Arabidopsis thaliana: one gene and its partners. The protein of the gene in region 2 interacts with the protein of the main gene of each other region in a pairwise test. Each region holds a gene or a part of one and is shown on either strand. Other genes may lie near its edges.

What was found. The genes of interacting proteins can lie anywhere in the genome.
Region 1: the proteins of AT2G42490 (region 2) and AT4G00980 interact in a two-hybrid assay, tested with the Arabidopsis thaliana proteins (one large-scale study listed by BioGRID).
Region 3: the proteins of AT2G42490 (region 2) and BSK2 interact in a two-hybrid assay, tested with the Arabidopsis thaliana proteins (one large-scale study listed by BioGRID).

Annotation. Positions count from the first base shown.
Region 1 is NC_003075.7:421,925-426,145, forward strand, and holds AT4G00980 (zinc knuckle (CCHC-type) family protein), read right to left. Parts: upstream 2,665-4,221; 5' UTR 2,657-2,664; coding exon 2,333-2,656; intron 2,216-2,332; coding exon 2,125-2,215; intron 2,011-2,124; coding exon 1,920-2,010; intron 1,769-1,919; coding exon 808-1,768; 3' UTR 554-807; downstream 1-553.
Region 2 is NC_003071.7:17,690,867-17,697,761, forward strand, and holds AT2G42490 (Copper amine oxidase family protein), read right to left. Parts: upstream 5,158-6,895; 5' UTR 4,661-5,157; coding exon 4,456-4,660; intron 4,244-4,455; coding exon 4,134-4,243; intron 4,051-4,133; coding exon 3,745-4,050; intron 3,648-3,744; coding exon 3,535-3,647; intron 3,455-3,534; coding exon 3,124-3,454; intron 3,041-3,123; coding exon 2,825-3,040; intron 2,751-2,824; coding exon 2,514-2,750; intron 2,251-2,513; coding exon 2,065-2,250; intron 1,876-2,064; coding exon 1,735-1,875; intron 1,404-1,734; coding exon 1,135-1,403; intron 1,042-1,134; coding exon 960-1,041; intron 869-959; coding exon 734-868; 3' UTR 541-733; downstream 1-540.
Region 3 is NC_003076.8:18,892,833-18,897,959, reverse strand, and holds BSK2 (BR-signaling kinase 2), read right to left. Parts: upstream 3,583-5,127; 5' UTR 3,274-3,582; coding exon 3,198-3,273; intron 2,969-3,197; coding exon 2,751-2,968; intron 2,393-2,750; coding exon 2,257-2,392; intron 2,161-2,256; coding exon 1,921-2,160; intron 1,836-1,920; coding exon 1,750-1,835; intron 1,638-1,749; coding exon 1,449-1,637; intron 1,364-1,448; coding exon 1,091-1,363; intron 1,014-1,090; coding exon 762-1,013; 3' UTR 554-761; downstream 1-553. Other genes in the region: AT5G46580 (pentatricopeptide (PPR) repeat-containing protein), read left to right, coding at 1-450. UniProt on the Arabidopsis thaliana protein: Probable serine/threonine kinase that acts as a positive regulator of brassinosteroid (BR) signaling downstream of the receptor kinase BRI1. Mediates signal transduction from BRI1 by functioning as substrate of BRI1.

The DNA.
Region 1 (4,221 bases), on a different chromosome or scaffold from region 2:
ATCGATAAGCTAGTGGAGAAACGTTTTCTTTATATATGGATACAAAGCATCAATGGTCACGACCTTACTTGAACTATAGGCTCGTACATCTGTTTTCTTGAGAAAATTTCTCAAGAGACAGGCCCTAAACCCTTGTTGATGAACCGTGACCGTGCGGCTTGAGCGTGATTGACGGCTACGATTGTCCTTGGATGCATCCGGTGCTGTAGAGGATGGTTACTCGGCTCGGTTCTCCCTTGCCGGGGTGGTCGCACGGCGGTCTGACAGGTTTCATTTTTTTTCCTTTTCACCCTGAAACTTTTAATTTCTTCTATTTTTCACCCGCTAATTTTATATTACTCTCCATCTGGTCCTTTTTAAAATTTCGACGTTCAAGTTTAATTTTAGAGGCTGAGAATATCTTCCATAACGCTTGGGACAAAGAAACTCTTAATTTTTGGTTGTGTGTTAAGTATTGTCACCTCAATTGATGTCAGTTTATTTGTTTGTATATCAGTTTTGAGGTTTCTGTTTTTATTTTGGTTCCTCAAAATAGGATTTAAAAAGCAATTTTGACAAAAAAATTATCATTCATAAAAGTATACTTTTACATTAAATCAGGCCAAAACTGATCTATTGGTCATCTCTCTGTTCTTCTTTTATACATTTCAGTGTCATAAATCTAATAGGCCAGACATATGGACAAGCTGAAAAAAGGTCATAAAAGGACTGCTTCTGAATCCTGAATCAACGGTATTCAAAAGACTTACCTCTTTAAGTATATCTGTGAAGAGATATAAACATTTTGGCTTCAGCAATCATCAACTACTACCCCCTATCATTGTTTGTTGTTGCTTGAGTCTCTGATTCCACAGGTGCAGCGACTGAGGAGTTGATCCGGTTTGATTTTCCGGAAGCTCTCTCATCAGATTTACTACCCCAGCAATGCTTTGCGAGATGTCCTTTCCTCCCACAGTTGTCACAGACGATGATGACTCTCTCGTCTCTCTCAGGTTCTTTCCTCTTCCAACCTACGCTCTGAGATCCTCTATGTGTTGTTCCTAGACTCGGTGTCCTTTCCATCTGAGAGGAGCCTGTGGCTGGTCTATATGTAACCCCTTTTGCTCCATTTCTGAGAAGCTCTTCCTCAGCTTTTACTCGTTCCATCAACATCCAGACTGGTAAATACTCCTCTTCCATTAACCTGGTGCAGAAGCCTCTCCAAGACGGGGGAAACTTGGAGATGATGGTACTCACATGAAATGCCTCATCAAGAAACATACCAGCACTCACTATGGAATCCGCAATCTTGTTAAAGACTTGGACTTGCTCGAGTATCGGTCTCTCTTCCACCATTCTGAATTCAATGTACTTTCTGACTTGTGACCTCTTCGATTTGGATTCATCACACTGGTAGACCCATTTTAACTCGTCCCACAATTCTTTGGCATGCTTAAATTTCTGAGAGTATCGACGGTATAGATGATCTGACAAGGAGTTCATCAAGTGAGTATAGCACAGGTAATCATCTCTCAACCATTTTTTCCCCGTAGCATCAGCTCGAGTTATTTCCCTGGGGTTGGTTTCAGGGCCTTGAGAGCTACCAATACTGGGACAAGGTTCAGAGAGTACATAAGTCAGCTTCAATTGCTTCAGAAAGAGTTCCATCTGTGAAGCCCAGTAAAGATAACTCTTTCCATCAAATCGTGAAATCTTGATAACAGAAAAACCGTGAGAGCTGTCCTTATCCACAGCCTCAGAAGTATCTCCATTTCGTGCTGCTTCAGATCTGCATAACGTTTAATAGCAAGATAAGCAGCCTACATTGCTAGCCAGACAGTAATGCCCTATGCCACGATGATTATATGACCATAAAACACTAAAAGCAATGCCAGGGAACATGAATCTTTATAGACTTAAAATAAGGTACACATTCTTACTTTAGTTTTGATTGGCACTGCTTAATACCGTCCTCTATCGCTGCAAAATTCTTCTTGATTACAGACCATTGGTTAGTTGACAAATGTGCTCCTGACAGAGAAGAAACATCTAACAATTGAAATCAACAGGAGCATATCTAAAACAAAAATGGCTACTTATAGCTTCATAGTCAAGACCAAGACACCAAGTTGTGTTTCAAATTACCTCTAAAAGCCTTTCCATGTTCCTGAGAACCAATCGATAGAAAAGGTTGGCCTCTGTATCTTTGAACCGTCGCATTTTGCTTCTCCGATAACTACAGTTAAAGACCAACAATTTCTACAGTGACCACTGAAAAACTCAAAATCGAGATGATCACAATCTCTACTCTATACAGTGAATCAAACATAGAACAAATAGGCAAAGTCGCAACCTTACAAATAAAGCGCTCATCTTCACCACCAACGGAAGCGGCAGCAACAGAAACTGTCTCATTTTTCGCCGGAGCCACCGTCTCCGGTACGAGTGCTTCACCGGGAGTCGATAGCAAAAAGACCTCAAGAACATCTCTGACTAGCTTCTTGTGATTGGTTCCCGATAAGTCGATACCGAGTTTAGCCGAAGCGTCAAGTCGGAGTTTGAACTCCGTCATTTGGTCCATATCAGATTCACTGAGTATGCTCTTCACTGTTTCCTCGATTTTTTGTGTAGCGACAATCTCCATAGTTTCACCAGAATCAAGCAACGAATTCTCCATTTCGCCCGAAAAAGAAGAAAAAAAAGGATAAAGAAAAAGATTTCGCAGTAGCGTCGAGTTTTGGTTGTTGGCCGGCGTTATATTTAGGGTTCATAAATCGCCGGGGGAAAAAATTTGGCCGGAGTGTGAAAAAAAGAGGTTCTACCGAGAATTGAACTCGGGTTACTGGATTCAGAGTCCAATGTCCTAACCGCTAGACCATAGAACCTTTTTGCTATAGCTGTTGCATTTAATACTTTATATATGCAAATATATATATATGAGTTTTTTTTCCTTATCTATATATCTTTTCTGTTTTATAATACGATATATGAATACATGGGTGAGATACGAATACGATTGAGAAATATATGGGTGAAATACAGTTTTTCTTCACGAAGCCGATAAGATACTAAGAGTCGAATCCTTCTAGAAACTAAACCGACAGAAAGCAAATTATTTTTGAAAATTAAGCTCAAACAAAAGAGGCTAAATATAAAGATAGCAAGGTAATAGTCATTAACATTTGTTGTGAATAATCTAGTTTGGGCTAATGTTAATCTTGTTTTACTTGTCTTCTCACTGCATTGCAGCTTAAGAAATTAGTATTGCATGCTGCGAGCTCAGACTCAGCCAGAGGGCTAACCCAACAGATTTTGATGCCTAAAACATCTTTAAGCTCATTTAAAATTCTTAAGCATTTTAAATCTATTTATAATTAAAGTCTCAAAAAAACGAAGGTAAGGTTCGAACTGTCCACGAAAGAGTCACTAATCTATGAAACAATCACTAGACTACGAAACATTTTTAAAATTTGATGCCCTTTAATATTATCTATAATTTTAGGCGCGTAAAGCATGAGTTTCACCAACTTTAGCCCAGGGCCGGCCCTGCTCAGCCATAAGAGAAGCAAAAGATGTAATGCAAAACTCCAATACGCAGTAATGATAACAAAAAAAAGTTTGTTCGTTAAAGCTTATCAATGCTTACAAAACATCAAAACCAACTTGACATGTGATGGCAGTAACAAAATCGAGAAGGCGATGCTAAAAGTAACTTCATAAACTAGATTGATCAAAAGTACTCATAGCTTCGGAATCAACATAAGACACCAAATATGTTCAAGTCACCTTTAAAAGCAAGTTAATAGCCAACAAACAATGTGCATTTCACATTTCGCTTCTCCAATAACTAATGCCTAACAATTTACAGAAAACATCACTTCTTTCCTCGACAATCCATTGTATTATTTTCGTGAAATGTCATCATAGAAGAAGCACTTAAAATGAAAATTGGGTTGGCCCATGAATTTGAATTCTCTAACCCAAGACCAAAACCCATAAAAGTTATTTACGACCATCGAACCACTTTTTTTTTTTTTTTTTTAACGGCAAACATTTTTCTATTAATTAGCCCAAATGGGCTTCATAAACAGGTACAACTTGAGGCCAAAAGCCCACTAATTGCAAACATTAAATAGACAATATGATGACACATGTATGCAATGTGGAGATTGCAGCGTAGATCAACGTTTCAGCACATGCCCCGTCACTGCTTCGCCGGAGAAATCTTCCGCCGGTCAGCAA
Region 2 (6,895 bases):
AACTCCAGTGTTTTTCTTTGGGTTTTAGCTAAGATTTTTAGGCTATATGAATTGCATTTGGTTTGGACTATATGTTATCTGTGTGGAATCGAATCAAAATTATCAATCTGGTTCGTCGGAGTTGGATCAATTGTGGAAGTGACAATTGCTAGTTTGTCGTTTGTGTTTTTAATTTCGGTTCGATTTACATGGTTTTGAAAAATTCAATTGATTTCGGTTGGGTTTGAATTGGAATTAAAGGAGAAAAACACTGAAATCACGCACTCGAGGCTTTTTTAAAAAAGAGCGAGTGTGTTTCAAAACAAGCCATTTGGTGGGTTAGAACCCTCAGAAAACGTAGACACGCCCTCAACACGCGATTAGTGAGAGTGGGTGTGAAATCACGTAAAAGGTGAGAATGGGGTATGACATGGAGCGCTCTGATTGGCTTATAAAATGAAAATAGTAGAGATGTTGCTCCTCTCTTCCAATGTTTATATTTATTTGCTTCTCTTTTCCAAAGTATGAAACTAATGCAATTCATAGAAGAACACACACACCAAACACGAAAATAAAAGATTCAAATATGAAATTTTAATAGAAATATTCCAATGACAAAGGTCTTTTTAGTCTTGCAAACACACACACCAAACACGAAAATAAAAGATTCAAATATGAAATTGTTCTTAACCAACAGCAACGCCTCCAATTTTTTAAGAGATCAAAGAAAGAAAACAAATGATATTCATATTCTTCAAAGCTTTGAAAGTAAACCAGTCTGAAGAGCTTTCGGTGCTACAACCTCTTTGACTTCACTCTCCTTAGTCTCCAATTCGCATGGATTCGGTGGCACATCTACTGCCGGTGAGCAGTTGAAAAATCCATGTGGCTGTATTTTACCCAAAACCCAAAACATTTTTTAACCAATCCTTTGTAAGGTTTTTTTTCCATTGAAAGTTACAGTCAAAGATTTAACTTACCATTAGTGTGAAACCAATATGTTCGACGGGCATAACCGGCCAATCTTCAAGTCTAGGAACATGTGTGATCCCAAACACGTACCTGGTGACAAATGAAAATTCCACATTGAAAGTCACATAATTTGGTAAGTAGTAGTTTTTAACTGAATCAGATAAGTAAAACAAGGATACAGACCAAAGAACGACGTCAGATTCTTCCAAGGAGCGATTCTGTTTCACCCATGTGGCAAGACCTTCACCAGCCCGTGGGTTTTGGTTTGGGAATTCTCCTCCAGGAAACTTCTCGTCTGGGGCGTAACGGGTAACCCAGAGATTATGCTTCAGGAAAGCGGCTCTTCTTAGAAACTTCGCCTCGGGTCGAGCTAATGGCAAACAATTTGAACCCGGAACAAGTTTGTATCCCGTTAATTGGCCCGTCCTGTTTACAGTCCTTGTGTTCCTTACCTGATAACACATTACAATGATTTGTGTTGAATATACATCTTGCGTGAGTATACCATCTATACTTCAGCTACAAATCATATTCAATGAAACTCTGAGATGATTTTTTGGTAAAGGAACTCAAGTATGAGACTATATAAACACATGACTGAAACTTAGGGATGCTCAGGTGATCTCTTATCCCAAATCCAGTCTCAAGGATGAGACTAGTAGATAGTCAAGGATGAAAGAAATATAAACAAGGATATTACAGAGACGGGTACGAGCACTGACAATGTGAAAGTTAAACATGCAATAAATGGACGAGAACATGCAAGGTACGGTTTTTGCTTACAATCCAATGGCGAGCAGAAAGAGGGTCACAGTCACGCATCGCCACTGCCTCAGATTTAAGTAACTTCTCTTCCGCATAAAACGCATTGTTGTGGACATTGTTCTCACCTCGCTCGTCAACTCTAACATTTACCTCAACTACCTACAGATAAAAGTGGATTAAGCTGACTATTGAGCAAAACCAGCTGACAACATGTATCTAAGATTTTTTTTCAAGAACTATAGGGACTTCTAAAATTCATATGCTACCAATGCCATTCCTAAATACTGAGAAAATAATCCGCATATGTAAGTAAATAACAAGAAGAAGAGCAGCATCATAAAAAGGTACCTGATTAAAAGCTTCAGCAGGTTTACAGTCAACAGACATATCCATGCGAGCGATAAAGAAATGTTGATGGACTGGTGCATACAACCCAGGAGCAATAGTAGTACCGTACTTTCGAGTTTCACCTGGCTGCAGAGCTCCTAAACTGAGGATACCAGTAAGTTTTACTTCAGCTTCGATTTTCCCATCCTACAGTAAGACATTCAAGACATAAAATGATATTGGTCTTCAAATATCTAGAAAGATGAAACTACAAATCAGAAAACAAATGAAACTCGGATTCAGCACTGTAAATCAATGTCCTCAAGTGAAAAATCACAAGCAAAGTGCCACTAAACTCAGGATTTATTCTCATGCGGAGACACATCATTTGTCTTCCCTATAGAAATTAGATGCAAATATGACTAATATCTGCTTTACTCAAGAAATGAAGAATCACGTATTCCACTAACCTGGTAGAAGTGCCAGTAAAACCCATACTCGTAGTTGGCAACAGTACATAGAAAAGAGACAGTTAGTCTCCTAGATCTTCGCACTTCGGCTAATCCTGTTCTCCAGTCCTGATGTTTCCACAAAATCCCATGATCTTCTTCATGCAAGCAAACACAGTTCTCAATTGTTTCAACTCCTCCAGTGAAATTTGTGAAATGGGCATCGAAGTACTTGATAGATCCCAGACAGTCACACCCCTATAAAAACCGATTGTTAAACACAAACTGAGATCTGAGTGGTAAGAACACCAAAAAAAAAACTGATGTCAAACCTTCTTAAGCGAATGTGCGTTTTTCCCGAGACCATCCTCCCCTGCATCAAAAGCATTTTTCCTGTAATGTGGCTCATTAGGATCGCCATAAGGCACAACCATTTCCACAAAACTTAGCCTGTGTGCAACAGGCCTTCGACCTCGACTGCCATCAACATATGCTACCGAATGTATGACTAAACCTTCCCTTGGAGTGAATCCAATACGAAAGTTCCACTGTAAACAAAATGTTGAGCCAATTTAGAAATAAGCTTAAGCATAATCACTTGGTTTCAAGTAGGCTATTACTGGAAATCTACCTTCTGCCACTCGACAAAGTAACCCCTTACACGAAAACTTGGACCTTCAGGCTGAATAATCTGGAGAGGCTTAACATCACTTCTATCAACACCCCCTCTACTTTCACCTGGGGTATAATTCCTCAAAGGGTCAGGTGGGGGGAGTGGCACAAACTTACGGTCTTCAAATTCAATCACCACCATGTTTTGCATGTCTACAAGTACATAAATGCCCTCAACTGGACGAGCATATCCATTTTCCATAGGGGAATCACTATCAGTCCGACAGTATATAAGGGGCTTTGCAAGCCTACGACTAGGAGCGTCAGCCTCACTGTGATAACCCACACACCTGCACAATACATTAAGAGGTAGGCTCAGAGAAGAAGTACACCTTAATTGTCAACAGAAACGATGATGTTGTTAACATACCAGGGATCAACCATCACTAGATCCATGTCTTCAATACCTCTCCTCTTCATTGCCTCTATGAATGGTGGGAAGTCTTTGACAATCGCTTCACATTCAGCATATTCAGCCGCATCCTAAAATCAAAAGAATCTAAACTTAGAGACTGGCAAACAACGGTAGCATCTAAAAGTCACTTAGAGATCCAATTCCTTAAAACATAGTTTAACATACCATGGGTGGCTGAACATCAGGTATAACTTGTGAGGAAACAACTCTTCCCCTGTGATGTCCACCCCGAGTGACAGCATGAACTTCAGACAATGCCACAATCCATACACTTGTCTCATTAGACTTTTGGTTGTAAACAACAAGTCTAGCTCGCCTTGGAGGGAGCTTCATCGGAATCACAGGTCCAGATTTAGTTCTTGGAAGTAGTGATGGCTGGAACGGTGGGAAAAAGTAAGCATCAGCGAGCGCCACAACTTGTTTATCTGGTTCCACTGATGCCACCTCAATGAAACGCATGCCATCCCTAACCTGCCAAAGAAAAAGTAAAACAGTTTCAGTGACAATGTTATCAAGCATTCTGCATTTGTCAAGAATCAAGTAAGTTTGCGCACCTCAGGATTGGCACCAGCTGCGCGAACAGTCGCCACAGCAACTGATATTTCTGCAGCAGAAAGAGGATCCAATGGGTGCTTGGTTTCAGTCCTTGGCATCACAGAAATCCCTGCATTGGTGATCACAACAGAAAATCAACTTCACAGAAACCACAATAGTGATCACAATTAGATCTCAATCAGAAGCCATCAAGTAGACAAGAACCAATTTCACAAAAAGTAACCATCATCAACAAATTCCAGTAAACAAGAAGTCAAGTAATTCAAACGAATCGCGAGCTAACATCAGAAGAATGAAGGACGATCAACGATCAAATCAAACCTTTGTTGGCAGGTTTCTTGGCAGTATTATCAGGAAACGAATCGACAGGGCGGATAACGGATTCCAAAGAAACTTTAGAGGCTCGCTGATCGTCAGCGTCGGACCATACAGCAACGGTATCGGGAGCAGCGGAGACGAGTTTGGGAGGCGGAAGAGAGCCACCGTGGTGAGGACATGCCGACGTCTTTTTCGAAGCTGAGGCCATTGAATAGGGTTCACAAGTTCTCCAAATCCACCAAAATCAGTTTCAACACAATCCACTGACATACAGCAAAACCTATCACTATCCGTCGCTTGATCTTCCCCCTTCTCTCCACTTCTAGAAGCTCCAAGAAGAAGAAGAAGAAGAAGATTCCGATCTCCGATGATGACACAAAAATCCACAGCTACTACTACTAGTACAGTCTTCTCTCTCTCGACTTGAGCTCCGTCACAAGAAGTTGGATTCGTCACCGGATCTTGAGTTCTCCGTGATCGTATAATCGCTCTTCAATTTGTTTGTTTTTTTAAAGAGTTTGATTTTTGTTGGAGAGTCCAAGCAGAAGCGGCCAAAGCCTTATTTGTGGGCTCTCCTACTTTTTAACAAGTACCTATTTATATTTTTTTTTAAAGGTCTAATTATTTGTTTTAGAAAGAAATCCAACTTGGATAACGACGTGGATGCACTATTGTTCATGAGTTTCTCAATTTGTAATTTACTATTTGGAAATATATATTATATGTGTCTAATTAGAGTCAAACATATTTTCCATTTGAATTTTTTAAGTACTAAATATATAAAACTGGAAATTAAAATATAGGTAAGGAAAATATTGGAAGTTCTTATCTAAGGAGTTTTAACAAAGGTAAAGTATATAGGATGATGGAAATAGAAAAATATGACAATTGACAGACTACATAAGGTTATATGTCACTATCCGAAAATTTATTTCAAAATAAAAAAATTGGGAAAAAATTAACCAAAAAAAAATGAAACATATATGTTTTGTTAAATAAGTTTGACGTGTTTCACCAAAATTCTACACGCATAATTATTATTCTTATCAGGTTTATGCTGTTATTGGACACTACATTGTTTTAAGAAGTAAGCAGAATGGAACATAGCCAAAAAAAAAACATGAATACAACCAAAATAGTCTTATTAACTTGAGTTTGAGGTGTTTCACCAAAACTTGGAGACAATTGATATGATATATACTTTTAGAGCAGTATATTAATTATTAGATCCTGACAGATATTATAGAAAATATGTATGAAAACAAAAAAAAACGAATTGGTGTCGTTTATGTTTTATCACATAAAAATCACAAGAAGCTTATAAAATTACAAAAGTTACTAATCAAAGTGTTTTGATATGTTATGGTTTTAAGATTGTAAAATACAAATATAGTGCATGATATATAAATATATGTATATAGTTGTAATAATTAGATCGTGGAGTGGACCGCATAATCCATGCAATATCGACCACCAAAGAACCGCTGTCTACAACTAGTGGTATTACGAGGCTCACATTATTTATGAAATTCACGAAATTAAAAACTCTTCATTCGTCCATGACTCCATAATCTAGTTTAGCCTTACATAGTCCATGACTCCATATTCTGTCATCACAGTTTATATATTATTGTCTTCGGTGCGAAAACACGTCATGTTAACGTAGACTATTGAATTACACTTTGTTTTCTAGTCTTTGGTTTGTTTTGTTTCTTGTGAAACCTTCAATAGTAGGCAAAACGTTTAGAATTCCAATATAAACTGTTCTCTTTTGATGAATGAATACATAAGATTTTGGTCTATCACATTGTTCTCAACTATATTGTTCATTGTTTTTTTATGTTTTTTGGCTAAGAACTATATTGTTCTTTGTTGTTAAGCAAATGTATTACTTATCTTATTATTTCTTAGATATCTTTTGTCATTACTATGGATTTGCCTTTGTATGCCTTGTTGCGTTTGGTAAAGATCAAACTCATACTCTCTGGTTTTGTTCAGTTACTGATAGAAACAAGCACCAATTCTTGATTGACCAAAGAAAAGTCCCGAGAAAGTAGAATGTGTTCCCTTTACAACAACCTTTAACCTTCTACTTCCCACAGCTACTTTGTATTTAGACTGGATTACGACTCTATACATTAAAACACTTGTCTATCCAGCTCAGCACCAACTCAGGAGCTTTCTCATTGAGCTCTTCATTTAGAGGTCTATCAATTTGCTCCTTCCAGTCTGCACTGAGTCTCAATGTTGTTCTTTATTTATCTCATTCTCAATGCAATAGCCATGAGTACAACAAAGCCTTCAATGCCGTTAGATTGCAAGTCAAGAGAAGGTTCACAGTCGAACATTTTGAGTGGCTGATCTGATGCGTTCAGCGACTATTGTTATTATATCAAGCTTTGAAGAACAAATAAACATAACAATTTCAAGGTTCTATTCAAAA
Region 3 (5,127 bases), on a different chromosome or scaffold from region 2:
ACCCAAGTAGAGGCAAGAAGGCCCTTCTGCAACTGTTTGATAGATATATGCAGAGGCAACAACCGGCATGAGAGAGCTCATGAGCTTCTCTACTTAGGAACACTTTTTGGTCTATACCCGGGACTACACAACAAGACCATAAAAGAATGGAGCCTAGATGTGAGGTCATTATCAGTTGGTGCAGCTGAGACCGCTCTCGAAGAGTGGATGAGAACACTTGCCAACATCATTAAACGCCAAGAGGAACTTCCTGAGCTGTTTTTGGCGCAAACTGGGACAGGAACTCACAGATTCTCACAGGGATTAGCAAACTCTTTCGCCTTGCATTTGCAACAACTCTCTGCACCATTTAGACAGAGCGATAGGCCAGGTATCTTTGTGGCTACAAAGGAGGATTTGGTGTCATGGTTGGAATCAAAGTTTCCACCTTTAGTTACTTCTCAAGCATGAAGTATCATCATCTGTTATCCTAAACTAAAAAGCAACATTATTTTTCCCAGTAAAGTTGTTTATAATTGTAATAGCATATTGAATTTTCCATCTTTTTGTATTACCATAAGGAAGAAGGAATCAAATTAGTTATTTGCAGTCTTATTCTCTCTTTCCCCAAAAGATTTGACTTTTCATAAAGATTCATGCAAAAAAAGAAGCTCTCATTTCACAAAAGTAAACAACACATTCCATCTCTCTCTTACATGCATACACACCTTTCAGTTACAGTCTGAAAAGACCCATAAATATTTGGGACTTCCTCTAATAGCTTAGCAGCGCCAGCTATTCTGTCGCTTAGCATCATATGCAGCGCCATCGTTGAGCATATCTTGAGCATCAGTCTCCATTCCGAGCTTTGAGAGCGCTAAAGCCTGCAAGTAAAAAGCTGTTGGCCATTCTGGTATGCACACCTGTGCCTGCATTGCATCTCTCAGTGCAAGCTCCTGTTGGTCTGTCATTAAGTAGGAGAAAGCCCGTCTAGCGAAAACTGTTGCAGAAGGAACCGGCATCATCCCCACCAACTGGAAACCATAGATACAGAGGTTAGAAATTCTTTTCGAACACCGAGAATTATGGATTTGTTGCTATTTCCTCTCACCTTGGAGTAGTATTCAATTGAGTTCTTGAAATCCTTGTCTCTGAAAGCAATGTCCCCGAACTTTTTTGTGTTAAGCATCTCCTGCACTTGTTGTGTCCATTCTTGAAATGAAAGCTCATTTTCTGCACCTTCTTCATCTCTGTAACCGGTTTTAAGCAAAATGTCGTGAAATGTCGCAAGGTCCATCTTTGCACAGGCCTTTCCAAGAGGAGAAAGCATAGTTGGTAATATTACTGTGTTCTTTGGTAAGCCCATTAAGACATGAGAAGCAACCTAAGCAACAAAATCAAATCCAGGATAAACAAATTTGGATATGAAATTCATGATATGGTCGGTTTCAGGAGGGATTCTTTTAAACCTCTTCTTGCTTTTGTAGTGGTGCTACTGCAGAGAGAAGAAATTTGGTATCTGGTCGATCCTTTGCCTCTGATTGAAGGCATTTTGAAGCAAGATCAACTAATTTAGTCGCATCATCATTCGCATATTGCCCTTCAAGAGATGAATCCATAAGAAGCAAAGCATTTTTCCCTCTTATGATATCAAGGGCCTGATATGAAACATCACCACCAATTCAGATAAGAAGACCACAAATAAAATCCTCGGCAATTGACAAAAAAGTAAGATAAAATGAAGGAAATTAGAACATTGGAAGCACATACATGGCTAGGTGGAATGTGTTTGCCGCTTAAAAGATCTAAAAGAATAGTTCCATAACTGAATATCACACTTTCAGGAATGACTCTACCTGCAAAAGAAAAACCAGAGAACTTTAATCTTCAATAATGAATTGGTTTGTCTTCGACTACGATTCACAAGATCAAGAATTTTACCTGTCCGTAAAAACTCAGGTGGAGTATAAGCTAAGTTTGTGCTATAGCTTTTGCCATCTCTACTGTTCTTCATAAGACCAAAAGTAGATAGACGAGGATCACCTTCCTCGTCGAAGAGGATTCTGTATGCATTGAGGTCATGATAGATTTTTCGGTTCTCAATATTGCAGTAATCAAGTGCTTCTGCAATATAGTCTGCGATTCGAACACGCATATCCCATGGAAGTGGCTGCTTTTCCCCTGCAAACAATGCAAACAAACACAGAAAGAAGAGAGTAAATCATCTAAAGAAGACTTTAAACCAAGCTTATAACGAGAGAAAGATAAGACTATTACAGTGGAAGAGATGCTTTGAGAGAGTATCATTGGGCATATACTCTGCCACCAACAACCTCTCATCTCCTTCAGCACAGCAACCGATCAAACTAACTATTCTCTTGTTTCTAAGCTTCCCAACACCAGTCGCTTCCACCTGATTTCACAAGTCAAACAAGGTCAACACCAGGACAAAGCTCCTATTTAAAAGCAGTCAAGATATACAGTCAAGACATTAGTCGTATCCTAAGATTTAAAAGCAGCTTTAAACCCGAAGTTATCGACTTTTCTACAATTCAGTGGTAACCAAACTCAGGGACGCTTATTCTTTTATCGAAAAATGATGCCTTGTTCTTCTTCTGTAACTAAAAACTACACCTAAATCACCATTCCTTGGACTAGTCATTGATGCGGTTTGCCTAAGAGATAGTCCAACAGAATCACCCAGGGTCTAAAATCAGACAATGAATCAATGAACAACAAATCATGCATTGACCTTTTCTCAGATATCTTACCACAAACTGTTGAGCATCAGGCCAAGATTGCCTAGAGAATCGCTTGATAGCTACAAGATGATTCCCTTCAAGCTTCCCTCTGTAAACGACATTAGGAGCTTTCTCTCCACCTTCAGAGACAATGCAGCTAGGACTAAACCCATTGGTAGCTTTCCTCAACTCATTTAGTTCAAATTCTTTGAAATTTTGGATTTCCTGATCCACTTGGTCCCCATTTACTGTAACCACATAACAAAACATACCCCGAAAAGGCAAATCAATCTAAACAAGAGTTTAATTCCAAAAAGGAAGAGACTTTATAACTTTTTCTCTGCTTTAAGCCTTTCACAAACCCTAACCCCACAAATTAAAGCAAACCCATAACAAGAACAGACGAAAAACTGCAGATTTACTAAGTGAGCAAACAAAATGTGAGTTTTTTAGAATCTAAGAGATTAGTATTATTACCTGATTCTGGTTTGTTTGGAGCTGATGGATCATCAGAAGAAGGAAGATTAGCAGTTTTGGAATGTAAACAACCCATTTGTCTCACATCCAATCAAAATATTGTTCTCCACAAAGATCAGAAATTTGGATAAGAAACAGAGATTTTTGTTGTGTCTAGTGTTCTTGGATTGAGGTAATAAAACAATGGTGGGATTTGATTTGGGGCTTGGATTTGTGCTTTGTGAGAGAAGCTGAGGAGGCAGTAGAATATAAAAATTTAATAAAATTTGAAAACTTAAAGACAAAAAGAAGTAGCTAGAGAGAGAGTGAAAGATCTGAAAAATATAGCTTCAAAAAGCTGCAGACTTGAAAAAATAGAGGTAAGAAAAAAACAATAGAGTCATGTGAAGCAAAAGATCTTTAAATTTTTCTGCTCTAGATTTTGCTTGCAAATACTTTTTTTCCTCGGTACTATACACGAAATTTTAAATTTGGGTTTCAGTTTTTAGCTGTGAAATGTAGAAGTTTTTACTACATTAGAAGAGAGACTTTCATATGAATTATCCAAAAGTATAAGTTTTGTATCCAGGTAAAGATAGATATTTTTTCTTTAATTTTGCAACTTTCTCTTAATGTTTATATCTTAGATTAACTTAAATAAAAAGATGATAATTTTTTTTTTGGCCTTAAGAAATTATTTAGGTATATCTTAGATTCTAAAGTCAATAATAATAGTGTTAAGATTTGGTAATAATTTACAAGATGACAGTTTATTTTGCAAAGTTAATAAGAAGGAGTGTTAATACAATAAAATATCAATTAAGAAAAAAAATAGTTAAAAAATATATTAAAACAGATATAATTATTTACAGTTCAATAAACATGTTAAATAGCTTACATCAATTTTGTGTTTACTATTGTCTAATCTTATCTCAAACACTCGTTGGTGACATAATTGAAGGTACAAATTTGTACCCTGCTATTAAAAACTAAAAATCAAAGTCAACAACACAATAACAATAATAGTGAAAATAATTGCTACATGATCTGCTCTCTTATTCGCCTTTTACTATGTAAAAAAAGTATTTACACTCGATTGAGCATTATTGATATATGAGATAAAATGTCAAGACGATTAGGTTTGTGTCATTCATTCTTGTTAAATTTTTTATTTTTGAAATATTGCGTTTTTTGCTTATTAACTTTTGACGACTTCTAGCCTATGACAATTTGTTTTAAAAAATTGTTGGACAAAGAAAATAGGTCACATCACATGACAAGTCTATCATGGGGCACGTGCCTCGACCTTCTTGGGTCCTGAATTTTACCGAAGATAGAAAGTAACTATTCCTCTTTCCATCAATTTTATTAAAAATTAAGGGTCTTTTTAAAAAGCTAATTAAAATTTAGAAGTCTACCACCAACATAATCGGTATTTATTTTAGTATAAGTACAAAATGAATAAGTACCGTTATTACATGATTCTTTTCACACAAAAAGTCTTCGGTTTATTATATATCAACCCCTTCACCGACAAAGTTAATAACGAATAGAGATTTCGAGATTTTAATACTACACAGATCCTTAAATGATAGTACTTGGACCGAATCATCCACTAATCATATGAGAATTTCTACAAAAGAAAGGGGGATAAAGCAAACAATTTTCGATATTATTATTCTGGATTTTCTATTCCAAATATCACAGCTACACAAAAATCCTTTTTTTAATATAACTATTTTAGTTGATGCAATGCAAATACATGAACTAATTTTTTGCTAAAAGAAAAAACTAATTTATTTTCATACAAAAGGAAAATAGTTGTACAATTTCTTTTTTGTATATTCTATATATTTCAACTTGGCCCCTTATTTTCATTGAAATTAAAATTTTAATTCCTTCACACTTTTTTAATTCTTTTATCTTAATTATAATCCTGTTTCTCAAAAAG